Linked DNA regions of Macaca mulatta. The protein of the gene in region 2 purifies or fractionates together with the protein of the main gene of each other region. This does not show direct contact. Links are inferred from orthologs where the notes say so. Each region holds a gene or a part of one and is shown on either strand. Other genes may lie near its edges.

Region 1 (8,250 bases), on a different chromosome or scaffold from region 2:
TTTTGTAATTTTTTTACCACGTTAGCCAGGATGGTCTCGATCTCCTGACCTTGTGATCCGCCCACCTTGCCCTCCCAAAGTGCTGGGATTACAGGCGTGAGCCACCGTGCCTGGCCTAATTTTGCAATTTTAGTAGAGATGGGGTTTCACCATGTTGATCAGGCTGGTCTCGAACTCCTGACCTCAGGTGATCCACCCACCTTGGCCTCCCAAAGTGCTGGGATTACAGGCATGAGCCACTGCACCTGGCCGGCCAATGCTCCCCTTCTAAAGAAGGCTGTTCCCGACGACTCCCACGCTAGCACCACTTTCATAATTTAACACACTATACATTTTCTTTCTTATTTTTTGTCCCATTCATCCCACTTCCCCCGCTTCTGAGCACTCCAGGGGGCAGGGATGGACACCTGTCCCGTCCACTGGGGCGACTGCCGTGCTTAGGATGGAGCCTGGCACGCAGAATGCTTGCAGCGAGTGTCTGCTGAATGAATGAGTGGACGAGTGATGAGTGGTGCCCAGTCTAGGGGGCCCCGTGGCGGATGGAAGGCAGGAGCCAGGCTGGTGGTGGGGGCGGGTGCCAGGGTACGTACTGCAGCAGGGCTTTGGTTTTGCGGGTAGGGTCGTCGGGCCGGAAGTTCTTGTACTCCTCCACCTCCTTCTCCAGGGACAGTAGCTGGCTCTGTAGTTTGCTACGCAGGGCTGGCAGCGACTCCCGGATGTGGTTGGTCAGTTGCTGCAGGAGAGAGGTCAGAGATCAGAAAGGGTGGCATGGGCAGGGGACCAGTGGGTAGCAGGCATACTCCCCCCACCAAGGGCCAACACCAGGGTGCCACTATGAGGCCAGCACACCACACAGCCTTGAGACAGCAACAGATATATCAAGCCACAGATACACTCGTGTCTGGGAAAGGAGACGGTACGGAGCTGCTCATGAGTGTAAGAGGCTACAAACAGCCCGTGGGGCTGACATCAGGCACTGGGCATATCAACGCCTTGGGGACATGCAAATACTTGCAAGGACAGTCCATCCAGACCACAGAACATGGGCGCCAATGAACACACATGGGGACAGGCCCTACAAACTAAGACGGAAAGATCTCCCCTGAAAAGCAGCAGAACGCACTTAAGATGACCTCCCTGGCTGCATCTGCATCTACAGAGAGAAGCAAGAAAGATTCAAAATAGACAAACGTGGGCCAGGCACGGTGGCACACACCTGTAATCCCAGCACTCTGGGAGGCTGAGGCAGAAGCATCACTTAAGATCAAGAGTTTGAGACCAGCCTGGCCAACACAATGAAACCCTGTTTCTACCAAAAAATACAAAAATTATCTGGGTGTGGTGGTGGGCACCTGTAGTCTCAGCTACTCGGGAGGCTGAGAAAGAACTCAGGAGGTGGAGGTTGCAGTGGGCCGAGATCACACCATGGTACTCTATCTAGCCTGGGTGACAGAGCAAGACTGTCAAAAAAAAAATTTCTTTTTAATTTAAAAATTTAAAAGAAAAGAAAAAGAAAAACAAAGCTATAAAATCAGCCTATACTTGAAAAGTGTAAAGCAGAGTTCTGCCATCTGTCCCACAATAGAGAAGAATTTAGAAAGTGTTCATCAAGGCTGGGTGCAGTGGCTCACACCTGTAATCCCAGCACTTGGGGAGGCTGAGACAGATCACTCGAGGATAGGAGTTTGAGATCAACCCAGGCAATATGGTGAGACCTTCTCTCTACCAAAAATAAAAACCTTTTAAAACTTAGCTGAGTGTGGCAGTACACGCCTATAGTCCCAGCTACTCAGGAGGCTAAGGCAAAAGGATCGCTTGAGTACAGGAGGCTGAGGATGCAATGAGCTGTGTTTGTGTCACTGCAATCCAGCCTGGACAACAGAGTAAAATGCATCAGAAAGCCTGGATAACAGAGAAAAATCATCAAAAAGGCCGGGCATGGGCCGGGGGTGGTGGCTCACGCCTGTTATCCCAGCACTTTGGGAGGCCAAGGCAGGCAGATCACGAGGTCAGGAGATCGAGACCATCCTGGCTAACGTGGTGAAACCCTGTCTCCACTAAAAATACAAAAAAAAAAAAAAAAAAAAAAAAATTAGCCGGGCATGGTGGCAGGTGACTATAGTCCCAGCTATTCAGGAGGCTGAGGCAGGAGAATGGCGTGAACCCGGGAGGCGGAGCTTGCAGTGAGCTGAGATTGCGCCACTGCACTCCAGCCTGGGAGAGAGGGAGACTCCATCTTGGGGCGGGGGGTGAGAAATAAAAAAGGCCAGGCTGGGTACAGTGGCTCATGCCTGTAATTCCAGCACTTTGGGAGTCTGAGGCGGGCGGATCACCTGAGATCAAGAGATGGAGACCAGCCTGGCAAATGTGATGAAACCCTGTCTCTGCTAAAAATACAAAAGTTAGTTAAGTGTGGTGGCGCACACCTGTAATCCCAGCTACTTGGGAGGCTGAGGCACGAGAATCACTTGAACCTGGGAGGTGGAGGTTGGAGTGAGCTGAGATCACACCACTGCACTCCAGCCCGGGCAACACAGTGAGGCTCTATCTCAAAAAAAAAAAAAAAATTCATCAAAAAAATAAAAATAAAATAAAAAGTGTCCAGTGAGCTAGAAAAGAGGCATGAAGGAACCTCACATCTATGGCATGGAGCCAGTGGGGTACCCCAAAGATCTCCTTGACCAGGGATCCCTGCCCTGCAGCCCCGGCCATGGACCCCCGTCTGTGTGGGCTGCCTAGAAAGGCAGGGAGCTACGCTGGCCTTCCCTTGGTCTCTGACAGGATACTACTGCACTGAAGCCGTGAGCAAATGGAGAGGAAGGGGCACTGCTGCTCTGGGAAGCACCCCACGCGAAAGGAGGCTGAGCCCCCTCCAGGCTCCCTGGTGGCCACCTGGGCTTTTCGCTGCTGGCTCTCAGGAGGACCCAGCCAGCTGTGGAGTTTTACTTCCCTTCCTCTCCCTACTCCCGTTTGCAGGCAGACCCCAGCTTCCTCTCCTGGTGGGCCCCTCCCTCTAGACACTGACTTCCCTCTTTGCTCTCCTGAGCTGCCTTCTTTGGGTGGCTCTTTTCCCGGTCCCCGCCCCTACTGGATTCTTGATCGTGCATTTCTCTGGTGGTTTGTTTGGTGTCAGTCTCCCTCATTAGAATTATGCCTTCCACAAGGACAGGAACCTGCTCTCGTGTGGACACTGCGTGCCCCGATATGTGCGTGAAAAGATGACTCCTGGAGTGCTGCTGAGGCCCTGCTGCCATCCTGGAAGGTGCTGGAAAACAGCACAGAGGAACATCTTGCCCCTGCTACCACGCACTGGCCCACTGTATAGCTTTTAATACCATTTCTGTTTATGCACCCTGTGAATATATTACTTATAAGAAGAGAACGATAGGCCAGGCACGGTGGCTCATGCTTGTAATCTCAACACTTCGGGAAGCTGACGCAGGTGGATCACTTGAGCTCAGGAGTTTGAGACCAGCCTGGCCAACATGGTGAAACTCCATCTCTACTAAAAATACAAAAATTAGCCGGGTGTGGTGGCACATGCCTGTAATCCCAGCTACTCAGGAGGCTGAGGCAGGAGAATCGCTTGAACCTGGGAGGTGGAGGTTGGAGTGAGCCAAGATCATGCCACTGCACTCTAGCTTAGGTGATGGAGTGAGACTCCGTCTCCCCCCCAAAAAAAAAAAATAATAATAATAATAAATAAAAACGTTATAAACCCCGTCACCAATACCACGCAATGCATACAATCTTCTGGGTAAATGACTGAATAATTACAATGGTAATTAAAATATTGGTAATAACAGCGATGGTTGTAATAGTAGCAGCACCAAGTCACTGAACATCTGCTTTTCACCAGACCCTAAATCAAGTACATTGCTTTTATTTAGTTATTTAATTTTTTGAAACAGGGTCTCACTCTATTGCCCAGGCTGGAATGCAGTGGCATGAACATAGCTCACTGAAGTCTTGATTTTCCAGGCTCAAGTGATCCTCCTGCCTCAGCCTCCTGAGTACCTGGGACTACAGGCATATGCCACCATGCTTAGCTATTTTTTTCTATTTTTCCTAGAGATAGGATCTCCATATGTTGCCCAGACTGGTCTCGAACTCCTAGGCTCAAGTGATCCTCCTGCCTTGGCCTCCCAAAGTGCTGGGATTACAGGCATGAGCCACTGCACCTGGCCAAGTACATTTATTACAGCACAAATAAATGTGGACTGAACCTATTTTGCTAAAACAACTGCTGCTCTAGCCTGAAACAAGTGCCAGTGAGGACTGCAGCTATTGTGCAGTGCACAGCCTACGCCACTGCACACTACTCTGCAAACCCTTGCAGTACCTGATTCAGCGTCTTCTGCAGATGTGGTGTGCCCATGCGGTCAGCCATGTGCCGGTAGGCCGGGTGGGAGAGGAAGAACTTCCTCTCAGCTGCCAGCGCTGCACGGATGTCCTTCTTGCCCTCAATATCCTTCTGGCTGCGGTTCACCACGCCAATGTAGCCTGTGGGGAGAGGCAGTCAGGGCAGGGGCAAAGCTAGGTGAGCCAAGTGTACCTGGCATGGAGATGGGCAAGATTCAAGTATAGAGATGTATCCTGTCCCACAAGGCACTCACAGACTATGTCATAACATGTTACTCGGAAACAACACAGAGGATGCGAATGCACATGGCAGCTGCGAAGAGGAACGTTAAGTATTTGGAGGAAGGAGGGATCACATCCAGCCTGTGTGTGCAGGGACAGAAAAAAGCTTTGGGGCGGATGAAATCTACAAGCTGAGATTCAAAGACAGGTAAGAAAAAAAATCTCGGCCGGGCACGGTGGCTCAAGTCTGTAATCCCATCATTTTGGGAGGCCGAGGCGGGTGGATCATGAGGTAAGGAGTCCGAGGCCACCTGGCCAGCATGGTGAAACCCCATCTCTACTAAAAATACAAAAAATTAGCCATGCATGGTGGCGCCTGACTATAGTCCCAGGGACTCGGGAGGCTGACGTAGGAGAATTGCTTGAACCCAGCAGGTGGAGGTTGCGGTGAGCCAAGATCATGCAACTGCACTCTAGCCTGGGCGACAGAGCAAGACTCTGAATAAAAAAAAAAAAAAAAAATCTCAAGGCCAGGTGCAGTGGCTCACACCTGTAATTCCAACACTTCAGGAGGCTGAGGTGGGTGGAACACTTGAGCCCAAGAGTTCGAGACCAGCCTGGGTAACATGGCAAAACCCCATCTCTACAAAAATATACAAAAATTAGCGAGGCGTGGTAGCACATGTGTATAGTCCCAGCTACCTGGGAGGCTGAGATGGCAGGATCACCTGAGCCTGGGAGTTCGAGGTTGCAGCAAGCTGTAATTACCCCACTACACTCCAGCCTGGGAAACAGAGCAAGGCATTGTCTCAAAAGAACAAAGAGAAATAACATATTAAAAACAAGAGCAATAGGGAACAGCTAAAATCCACTATCAAACAAGTATATTTTAAACAGTTGGGTACATCAGAGTATTCATGTCCAGAGAGATCAGTGGAACCGAAAGAAAAGTCCAAAACTATACCGAGAAGGAGGTAGAACTGAAAGTTAACACTTCAACGTATGGAGGAGAAAAGCTGGATAATTCAATGCATGCTGTTGTAAAGAATCCTAGTGGAATGCCTGTCATTCCACTCCTGGCTAGGTTTTTGTTTCGTAGGTTTTTTTTTTTTTTTTTTTTTTTTGAGACAGAGTTTTACTCTCATTGCTCAGGTTGGAGTGCAGTGGCGCAATCTCAGCTCACTGCAACCTCCGCCTCCTGAGTAGCTGGGATTACAGGCGTGTGTCACCACACTCAGCTAATTTTTTTTTTTTCCAGTAGAGACGGGGTTTCACCATGTTGGCCATGCTGGTCTCAAACTCCTGACTTCATGATCTGCCAGCCATGGCCTCCTAAAGTGCTGGAATTACAGGTGTGAGCCACTGCGCCTGGCCTATGCTCCATTTTCTTTGCAGTGGGGTTGTGCATCTTTTCTCTTGAGAAGGGGAGAGGTGCCTGTCATCTATCCTGTAAGGTCTTGTGAGATGTGACTGCTCTTCATCCTCTCCAGATCTCTCTCAGATCCAAGAGGGAGGAGGGAAATGGAGACATGCCAAGGTGAGGTCACAGTAGGAGACCCAAGATCTGAACCTAGATCCCTGTGAAGACAAAATCACCATCACCTGTGTGACAGCACGAAGACGGAAACAGCAGGGGCCAGCAAAAGGCATCTAGCTTGGATTTGGGTTGATTTACTTATTTAAGAGATGGAGTCTCGCCCTGTTGCCCATTCTGCATTGCAGTGGCACAATCATAGCTTACTATAGCTTTGAACTCCTGGGCTCAAGCCATCCTCCCAACTCAGTCTCCTGAGTAGCCGGGAGTACAGGCACATGTACCATCACACACGGATGATATTTTCTTTTTTTTTGAGACAGAGTCTCACTTTGTCACCCAGGCTGGAGTACAGTGGCGCAATCTCAGCTCACTACAACCTCCGCCTCCCAGGTTCAAGCGATTCTCATGTCTCAGCCTCTCTAGTAGCTGGGATTACAGGTGTGCACCACCACACCCGGCTAATTCTTTTTTGTATTTTTAGTAGAGACAGGGTTTCATCATGTTGGTCAGGCTGGCCTCAAACTCCGGACCTCAGGTGATCCACCCGCCTTGGTCTCCCAAAGTGCTGGGTTTACAGGCATGAGCCACTGTGCCAAGCCTGTATGATTTTTCAAGAGAGAGATGGGGTCTTGCTGTGTTGCCCAGGCTGGTCTCAAACTCTGGGCCTCAAGCCATCCTCCCAACTGTGCTTTCCAAAGTCCTGGGGTTACAGGCATGAGCCACCACGCCTAGCCTGGGTTCCCGTAAAGCAGCAGGAGTTGGGAGTCATTAGTACGCCAGGAAAAAGGGTCCAGTGGGAGGGCTTCTGAAGCCTGAGGTCACAAACCAGGAGCAGGCCTACAAGTCAGCTGAGAGTGGAAGCGCCTTCGTTCTTGGAAACAGGACGCAAGGCAGAGAAGGGCAGCTGTGGACATCAGTGAGTCAGGAGGAAGGGGAAGAGGCCCATATCACCAAATCCTCAGCCCAGCTAGTACCCACAGACCCCGAAGCCCCTTAGGATCCAAGGTGGAGCCTAACAGTATCCAAGAGCAGCTGGGTCGGGGTGGCTGTAGTAGGGTGTGGGGTTGGGTAGGGTCTGCTTTCCTCTTTAGCACCAGCAAATCCTCCCCAAACCTTAGCCAGTCACAGATTCACTTCTCAGCCCCGGATCTTCACAGTCAAACAGGGTTTTGAATTTAGCCCTGACCACATTCTCCTGGGATCCAGGGTCACCTCACCACTCAATGTCTCAGCAGTGCTGGGGGATGGTGGTAACCAAGGTCTGAACTTTTCCCCACATCTATCTCAGACACCAAGGTGGAAAACCCAGGAGTAAAAGAAATGGTCTAAGTGACTGTGGCTAAGCATGAAGGGAAAGGCCGGAGATGCTCGCAGCTTAGAGTAGATCCCAGAGGGCAGGAATGGTTTTTAAAAAACACAAAACAAGGCCGGGCACAGTGGCTCATGCCTTTAATCCCAGCACTTTGGGAGGCCGAGGCAGGTGGATCACATGAGGTCAGGAGTTCGAGGCCAGCCTGGTCAACATGGCGAAACCCCGTCTCTACTAAAAACACAAAAATTAGCTGGGTGTGGTGGCGAGTGCCTGTAATCCCAGCTACTCAGGAGGTGGAGGTTGCAGTGAGCTGAGATTGCGCCCCTGTACTCCAGCCTGGGTGACAAGGCAAAAACTCCATCTCAAAAAAAAAAAAAAAAAAGGAAAAGGAAAGGAGATGTTATAATAGAAAGTAATTTTAAAAATTAATTACAGTTATAAACCCTGGGGAGCCGGGAGCTGCGGAAGATTCACGAGTGGCTGTCTGGGGGAAGTGTGGCTGCGGGTGAGTTTAGTTTCCTCTTTCTATACACTTGTTTTCTAATGTTCCAGAAACCAGCAGGTGTTAACTGTGCACTTGAAAAATGAACGCATACAAATCAGAAGAAAAAGATACATATGCTCAAAGGGAAAAGAAAGAAGGAGTTACGGTGAAATGGAGAAGCAGTGACTTCCAGGCAGGCAGAGAACAGGTGCCAGGGTTTCAGTAACGATAAGGACCCCACCCATCCTCCTGCTTCCCCAGTCCCCGCAAAGCCACACCTCTTCTCAACGGGAGCAACTTGTTCTCCAAGACGTCCCTGGCATCGGTGCCCTC
Region 2 (8,250 bases):
CATATTTTTCTGTGACTTACCTATGTTCTGGCATCTTTATCAGTTTGTTGATCTCTGTATCTATTGGAGGAAATAGTCCTTTGTCTGAGATGGCTTGCAAATATCCTCCCTCACCTCAGTTTGTTGACTTCTGAGTTTGCTTATAGTGTTTTCTCCCCGTAAGAGTTTAAACTTGCATTTTATGGCTTCTTAGTTTTGTGTCATATGTAGAAAGGCCTTTGCTATTGCAACATCTAAAAATCTTGTGTTTTAGTACTTTTATCATTCCATTGTTTTAAGATTAAATCATTGCTCTATCTGGACTTTAGTAAATCAGGTTTGAAGCAGGGATTCAACTTTATTTTTCCAGCTGGTTACCCAGTGGTCTATCATTTATTGAGTAATCCCCACTGATTTGAGATGCCCCCTAGTTTCTTTTAAATAGCAAACTTTCACCCTTGTGTTTTAAAAATGTAACTAGTGCCAGGCGCGATGGCTCATGCCTGTAATCCTGCACTTTGGGAGGCCATGGTGGGAGGATCACATGAGGTCAGGAGCCAACCTGGCCAACATGGTGAAACCCCGTCTCTACTAAAAGTGCAAAAATTAGCTGGGCATGGTGGGAGGTGCCTGTAATCCCAGCTACTCGGGAGGCTGAGGCAGGAGGATCGCTTGAACCCGGGAGGCGGAGGTTACAGTGAGCTGAGCCAGTGTGGGGAACAAGAGTGAGACTTTGTCTCAAAAAAAAGAAAATATATAATTAGGTAAAAATTAGGGTTGATAAAACTTTGCAGAAGCACATTGGCTTAAAGTGGGAGATTTGACAAAACATTGGGGCATGAGCCAGGCATGTTAACACACACCTGTAGTCTCAGCTACCCAGGAGGCTGAGGTGGGAGGATTGCTTGAGCCCAGGAGTTGGAGGACAGCCTGGCAACATGCAAGACCCTATCTCTAAAACAAACAGGCAGGGCACAGTGGCTCATGCCTGTAATCCCAGCACTTTGGGAGACTGAGGTGGGCAGACCACTTGAGGTTAGGAATTCAACACCAGCCTTGCCAACATGGTGAAACCCCATCTCTATTAAAAATACAAAAGTTAGCCAGGCATGGTGGTGGGTGCCTGTAACCCAGCTACATGGGAGGTTGAGGCAGGAGAATCACTTGAACCCAGGAGGTGGAGGTTGCAGCGAGCTGAGATCGTGCCATTGCACTCCAGCCTGGGTGAGAGTGAGACTCCATCTCAAGAAAAATAAAACACACACAATATTGGGGCAGCTACTGAGTATGTTTCTTTGTCTTGCTGCTTCATAGGACTTTCCCCTAATACCTCTCTCATGCTGATATCCCTCTGTTGGCCATTTTCTCCCCAGGTTTTCTAAAGTGTGACACGCTACACCTGAGCCCTCAGCCCTTAAAAGTCTCACCTCCGTAGCAATGACTGATACATTTTGGGTTGGGATATATGTAACGTTGAAAACCATCTGATGGAAGTGTCAATTCGGTTCTGACTGCTGACAGAAATTGAGAGAAAATGTTGAACAGTTCTGTCATGCCACAAAATGAAAAGCCTGCCCAATAATAAAATTAGATAGATTGACTAACAGTGAGAAAACCAGAGAGAACATAAGCTGAGGGCCACTGGCTGGATAATTTGGTATCTACATTGGCATATGGGCTGATATTTGGGGACTTTACAGCATTCCTTTAAAAGAAAACAAGAGGACATCATGTTTCACATTACATCTCCCAGTCAGGAGGAATTAGCAACATTCCCTGGATTATCTTACTGACAAAGCCCTGGCTTTGTATGTACAGATATAAATATTAACGACAAAAGGTCTAAAAATTGTTATAAAAATAAAGCATCAAACCAATGTGTGAGGCACTGAAGGTTTTTGCTTAGGGACTTTGTTTGCCCTTGAAATAGACTAATGGAGTATTTAGTCTGTTTGGGTTACAGCCCAGCATTGTAGAGATGGGGTTTCACCATGCTGGCCAGGCTGGTCTCAAAAGAAAGCCTGGAAAACCAACCTGGGGTTCAAACTATCACTATCTGGAGGAGTTGACTCTGTGATAATGGAGTCAGCAGACAAAACAGACAAAAGTCTACCTTTATGGAGCTTGCATTTTTACTAGGAGGGTGGGTGAAGGAGAGCATGACAATAAGCAGGCATTAGTCAATTCTAGTCATGTGAGAGGGTATTTTTTTGCAAAGACAAAGAAAGGAAGCAGCACAGCAGGAGCCGTTGGGAGCGCCAGGGTGGGATGGGAAACCGGGCTGGCATGATCAGTAGCATGGCAGGGCAGTTGTCTGTGAGACGGTGACAGCATGAACCAAGACCTGAGGAAGGAGAAGCGACTGGTCATTGTCATAATCCTATAGGAATCACCTTGGTTCTAATTTGATAATTTACTTTTTGGTAAATTAAGAAAACCTATTAGGTACATAGGGGAATAATACTAAAGAGATGATAAAAGCCCTCCCTAATTTTTTAAGAAATAAAACTCTTAGACTTTTCTCTGTGCTCCGTAAGTCATAGTTGTTGAAAATATGCTTATTTCAAAGCTCAAATACCAGACTAGTGAGGAAATTTCAAATTATGGAACGCATTTTTCCCAGATTGCTATTCAGGGTGATGGATGACAAAGGCTGGAAAGTTCTGTCTGTTCTGACTTGTGTCTGTCCTCACTGGCTCCAGGAGTCGGCGTGTGTGAAAGTGGTGGCTGCCGTGAGCATGTGGGATGTGTGCATGGAGCGAGGACACCGGGACCTGGAGCAGTTTGAGAGGGTGCATCGCTATATCAGTGACCAGCTCTTCACAAACTTTGTAAGTAACTTTTTCTTCAAAAGTTGGCCCCCTTCCCAAGGTCATCTCAAATGCATCAGCTCATGCAAAAGTCAGTTCCACAGACGCAGGCCCTGGGCGCCAGGCATATTAGTCATCCTTTAGCTATATTCATATTGGGGTTTGATATTCACAACATGACTTTCAGTTAGTTAAAGGGAAATGTAGGACCTGTGTCTGTACAAACAGATTTTTTTAAAAAACAGCTTGTAGGGCCGGGTGCAGTGGCTCAAGCCAGCAATCCCAGTACTTTGGGAAGCCGAGGTGGGCGGATCATGAGTTCAGGAGATCGAGACCATCCTGGCTCACACGATGAAACCCCGTCTCTACTGAAAAATATATTAAAAAATTAGCCAGGCATGGTGGCAGTAGCCTGTAGTCCCAGCTACTCGGGAGGCTGAGGCAGGAGAATGGCGGGAATCCAGGAGGCGTAGCTTGCAGTGAGCCAAGATTGCGCCACTGCACTCCAGCCTGGGCGACAGAGCAAGACTCCATCTCTAAAAAAAGAAAAAAAAAATAGCTTGTGATTAATTTAGTTAAAGAGGACACAGGAAAACTAGGCAATTAACTGATCAAATAAAAACAACTATAGGAGTAATAACTTGAAGAGGGGCCAGGTGCAGTGGCTCATGCCTGTAATCCTAGCACTTTGAGAGGCAGAGGCAGGCAGATCACTTGAGGTCGGGAGTTCAAGACCATCCTGACCAACGTAGTGAAACCCTGCTGCTACTAAAAATACAAAAATTAGCAGGGCATGGTGGTGGGCACCTGAAATTCCAGGTACTCAGGAGGCAGAGGTCAGATAATAGCTTGACCCCAAGAGGAGGTTGCAGTGAACCAAGATTGCACCACTGTACTCCCTCCTGGGCAACAGAGTGAGACTACATCTCAAAAAAAAAACCTTGAAGACAAATATTTAGGAATATAATTCATATGTTACCAAAGAGATTTGAGATGATAAAAACTACTTCAAGGCCGGGCTCATGCCTCTAATCCCAGCACTTTGGGAGGCCAACGTGGGTGGATCACCTGAGGTCGGGAGTTGAGACCAGCCTGACCAACATGGAGAAACCCCGTCTCTACTAAAAATACAAAATTAGCCAGGCATGGTGGTGCATGCCTGTAATCCCAGCTACTCAGGAGGCTGAGGCAGGTGAATCGCTTGAACCTGGAAGGTGGAGGTCATGGTGAGCTGAGATCTCCAGCCTGGGCGGCAAGAGCGAGACTCTGTCTCAAAAAAAATACTTAAAGACCAAATTTCTTGAGAAATTCTAAATCCATATATATGGGATTATTTAATCCCTTGTAGAAAAAAAACTGGATGGGATTTGATAGTTTCTTAGGGATCTATAAATGGCTTGAAGGTGAAAAAGACATGCCCAGCTGGGGAGCTGACAGGTGTTCTAATTGTACATTATTTTTAATAAGATGCTATTAAGTACTACTAAGTACCTGTTTATGTTCTTTATGTATTCATTGCCTTACCCTTAATGTCTGTGTGTTAGAAAGAATTAAAGAGAAAAATTTATTATTTTTGATATGGAGTCTCTCTGTCACCCAGGCTGGAGCGCGGTGGCACAATCTCGGCTCACCGCAACTTCTGCCTCCCGAGGAGCTGGGACTACAGGTGCACACCGCTGCACCTGCCTGAGTTTTGTATTTTTAGTAGAGACAGGGTTTTGCCAGGCTGGTCTCAAGCTTCTGACCTAAAGTGATCCGCCCACCTCGGCCTCCCAAAGTGCTGGGATTACAGGCATGAGCCGCCATTCCCAGCCAAGAGAAAAATTCTTTGAAAGATAAAAATGGGGGCCGAGTGTGGTGGCTCATGCCTGTAATCCCAACCACTTGGGAGGCTGAGGCTGCAGTGAGCCGAGATTGCGCCATTGCACTCCAGCCCGGGTGAAAGAGCAAGACTCCGTCTAAAAAAAAAAACAAAAAAAAAAACGGTATTACCTAGTTATGATTAAAGGTTTATGAGTGTATGAAAGTTACTCCACCCCAGATTTATGTAACAACTAACTCTGGAGTTAAATTCAAGCTATGTAGACATGTACACATAAGAAATGTTACCAGGTAAACTATCACATCTAGTTTCTAATGCACATATCAGCGTGCAGCTTAGCATTTATCACCTCAAGGAGCTCAAGTGGGATTAGCATATTTTACATACTCTTTGGTGTGGGAATTGAAGTATGTAGTGAGAAGTCTTGTGGAGTATTTAAGTAGAGGCTAGTGATGGGTTAGTAGAATACTGTTGTAGATCTGCATGGGTTTAGCTTGTGTACTAGAAACAAAGTAGGTCGTTGAGGACACAGCAAAATCAGCCTTAAGAGTGACTTGGAGAATCACAAATGTGGGGTGCTGTCCATCTGAGCAATGTGCCTTTCTCGTCCCTACAGAAGGAGAGGACAGAGCGGCTTGTCATCTCCCCCTTAAATCAGTTACTGAGCATGTTTACAGGGCCCCATAAGCTGGTACAGAAACGCTTTGACAAGCTCCTGGACTTCTATAACTGTACAGAACGGGCAGAGAAGCTAAAGGACAAGAAGACCCTGGAGGAGCTGCAATCGGCCCGGAACAATTACGAGGCCCTGAATGCGCAGCTGCTAGATGAGCTGCCCAAGTTCCACCAGTACGCCCAGGGCCTCTTCACCAACTGTGTCCACGGCTACGCTGAAGCCCACTGTGACTTCGTGCGCCAGGCTCTGGAGCAATTAAAGCCACTGCTTTCAGTGAGTTTCTTACCCCTTCAGTGGGATGGTCATCTGTGGCCTTTGCCTGGTATTTTTCTGGGAAAAATTGTAGCATGGTTTGAAAAATTGTCTGAACTAGATTAACTGAACGTGTCGCTAGTTCAGCCCTCAGGAATTCTTGATCCCTTGATGGTGTCATGAAGCCTGTGGCTTCTGAGACATCCCTTTTCCTCTTGAGCAGTTCCCAGAGGAGCCAGCCAACCTGGCCCGCAGGCAGGGCCCTGGAGAACTTGTGTTTTGCATCAGGCTGCTGTGTCCGTGGCTCAGAGAGTGAGCTGCAGCTGAACTTTAGCTTCAGTGGTTCTCAGGAGACTTTGTCAGTCTGGGATCTTTCATCGTGTTTTCTTTTCTCTCTCTCTCTGCTTTTCCCACGGACTCCAGTTACTCAAAGTGGCCGGCAGGGAGGGAAACCTTATTGCCATCTTCCACGAAGAACACAGTAGAGTTCTGCAGCAACTCCAGGTTTTCACCTTCTTCCCGGAGTCTCTTCCAGCTACCAAGAAGCCGTTTGAGAGGAAAACCATTGACCGCCAGTCTGCTCGAAAGTCACTCGTGGGCCTGGTTAGTAGGGAACTGAGAGGAGCAGCCCCACCTCGGGGTAAAGAGTGGGAAACCCTGCAGCCAGGCCCAGATCCCACTATTGGAGTTTCTGTATTTCATAATAAATGGAGAATAATGGTTGCATTCTCACCCATCATGGGCTCATGCATTTGCCCAGTTTTTGTTTGTTTTGTTTTTGAGACAGTCTCTCATTCTGTTGCCAGGCTGGAGTGCAGTGGTGCAATCTTGGCTTATTGCAACCTCCGCCTTCTGGGTTGAAGTGAATTCTGCTTTCAGCCTCCCAAGTAGCTGGGACTACAGGCACACGCCACCACACCCAGCTAATTTTTGTATTTCTTAGCAGAGATGGGGTTTTACCATGTTGGCCAGAGTGGTCTCGATCTCTTGACCTTGTGATCCATACACTTCGGCCTCCCAAAGTGCTGGGATTAGAGGCGTGAACCACCACGCCCGGGCTTTTTTTTTTTTTTTTTTTGCAGGGAGTGGGGGCATTCACCTGGTATTAATTTATTGATTCATTAATTCAGGAAACTGATTTAAGGGTGTATTAATTCTGCCAGGCCTCCCTATTTTTTATCCTGTATTCATAAAAGTAATACAGCTAAACAGTTAATGTTTGACTGCCTTTTTTACCTGGAATTAGTCTTTTTTAACTCAGTTCTTCCATATTTTAAAAACTAGCATAAGGCACACCAGATTATATGGGTTCATAATCTAGAGGACTGTGGATACATCTTTGCTTACAATATTTTTGCCCCATATGATCCCATAGACATTAATTTACATTACCTTAAAAGGGAGAATTATGATTTATTTTTTGAGACAGAGCCTTGCTGTCACCCAGGCTGGAGTATAGTGGTTCGATCTTGGCTTACTACAACCTCCCAGGTTCAAGTGATTCTCCTGCCTCAGCCTCTTGTAGCTGGGATTGCAGGCATGCATCACCATACCTGGCTAGTTTTTCTATTTTTAGTAGAGACAGGGTTTCGCTATGTTGACCAGACGGGTCTCGAACTCCTGGCCTCAAGTGATCTGCCCACCTTGGCCTCCCAAAGTGCTGGGATTACAGGTGTGAGTCACCATTCCCAGCCTGAATTTATTATTACCTTTTTTCTTATGACTTCCTTGCTTTCACAGGTGGGGAAGTTAAGACAGGGAAAGTCTCAGTTGGTTAGGTTCATCTAACAAAATACAAGAAGACCTACTAATATCACTTAGATATTTTGATTTTTTTTTAAGTGGCATTTTAATCATGTTTGTCACAGAAAAATGAATGTAAGAATAGGTGTGTATCAAATTTTCTTAACTATAAAGGCATCAAACATTGCCTAAGGGCTCTTTTTACGTAGCCATGTGCGCTGGCTTCATCACAAAAAAAAAGTTCTGAGACTGGCCGCGTGTTGGGATGAAATATGGCTGCTGGGGTGGTGGCCACTGAGGGATTTTTGTTGATGTCTTGCCTTTCAGCCAAGTTACATGCTACAGTCAGAAGAACTCCGGGCCTCCCTCCTGGCCAGGTATCCCCCTGAAAAACTCTTCCAGGCAGAACGGAACTTCAATGCTGCTCAAGACTTGGATGTGTCACTTTTGGAAGGTGACCTGGTGGGTGTGATTAAGAAAAAAGACCCCATGGGCAGTCAGAACCGCTGGCTGATTGACAATGGAGGTAAGAGATTTTCAGCAGCAGGGAATTGTAACTGGGAAAAAAATAGTTTTAGCTACACCCGAATCTGGACTAGACCAGGAAAAAAAAATATCTTTGATTAAGGGGAAAAGTAGCCTTAACCTTCTCTACAGAGTGAAGATCATTACTGAAACAAAACCTGTTTTTATTGGGACGAATTCCAGAGGAGACGCCATTGCTTATCACGCAAGCTCTTGCCATGTCTTACAGCACTTACAGGCGGGAAGGCCTGCCTCATGGAATCCTGTTCCTTCCTAGCCTTTTCCCAGTAGGCCACAAAATAAGCTGCCCTCTTTTCAATTTTTTTTTTTTTGTGTGTGGCAGTCTTGCTCTGTTGCCCAGGCTGGAGTGCAGTGGCACAATCATAGCTTATTACTCCTGGGTTCAAGGGGTCCTCCTGCCTTAGCTGGGACTACAGGTATGC

Evidence for each region.
Region 1: the proteins of DNMBP (region 2) and DNM2 purify together in Homo sapiens (co-immunoprecipitation; 3 studies listed by BioGRID and IntAct, with this or other methods). This does not show direct contact. The link is inferred for Macaca mulatta from reciprocal best matches to the Homo sapiens genes DNMBP and DNM2.

Annotation. Positions count from the first base shown.
Region 1 is NC_133424.1:11,518,166-11,526,415, reverse strand, and holds part of DNM2 (dynamin-2), read right to left. Parts: coding exon 8,196-8,250; exon of another isoform or gene 7,912-8,195; intron 4,504-7,911; coding exon 4,343-4,503; intron 734-4,342; coding exon 591-733; intron 1-590. UniProt on the Homo sapiens protein: Catalyzes the hydrolysis of GTP and utilizes this energy to mediate vesicle scission at plasma membrane during endocytosis and filament remodeling at many actin structures during organization of the actin cytoskeleton.
Region 2 is NC_133414.1:111,946,817-111,955,066, reverse strand, and holds part of DNMBP (dynamin-binding protein), read left to right. Parts: intron 1-2,681; coding exon 2,682-2,810; intron 2,811-5,227; coding exon 5,228-5,560; intron 5,561-5,962; coding exon 5,963-6,142; intron 6,143-7,609; coding exon 7,610-7,808; intron 7,809-8,250. UniProt on the Homo sapiens protein: Plays a critical role as a guanine nucleotide exchange factor (GEF) for CDC42 in several intracellular processes associated with the actin and microtubule cytoskeleton.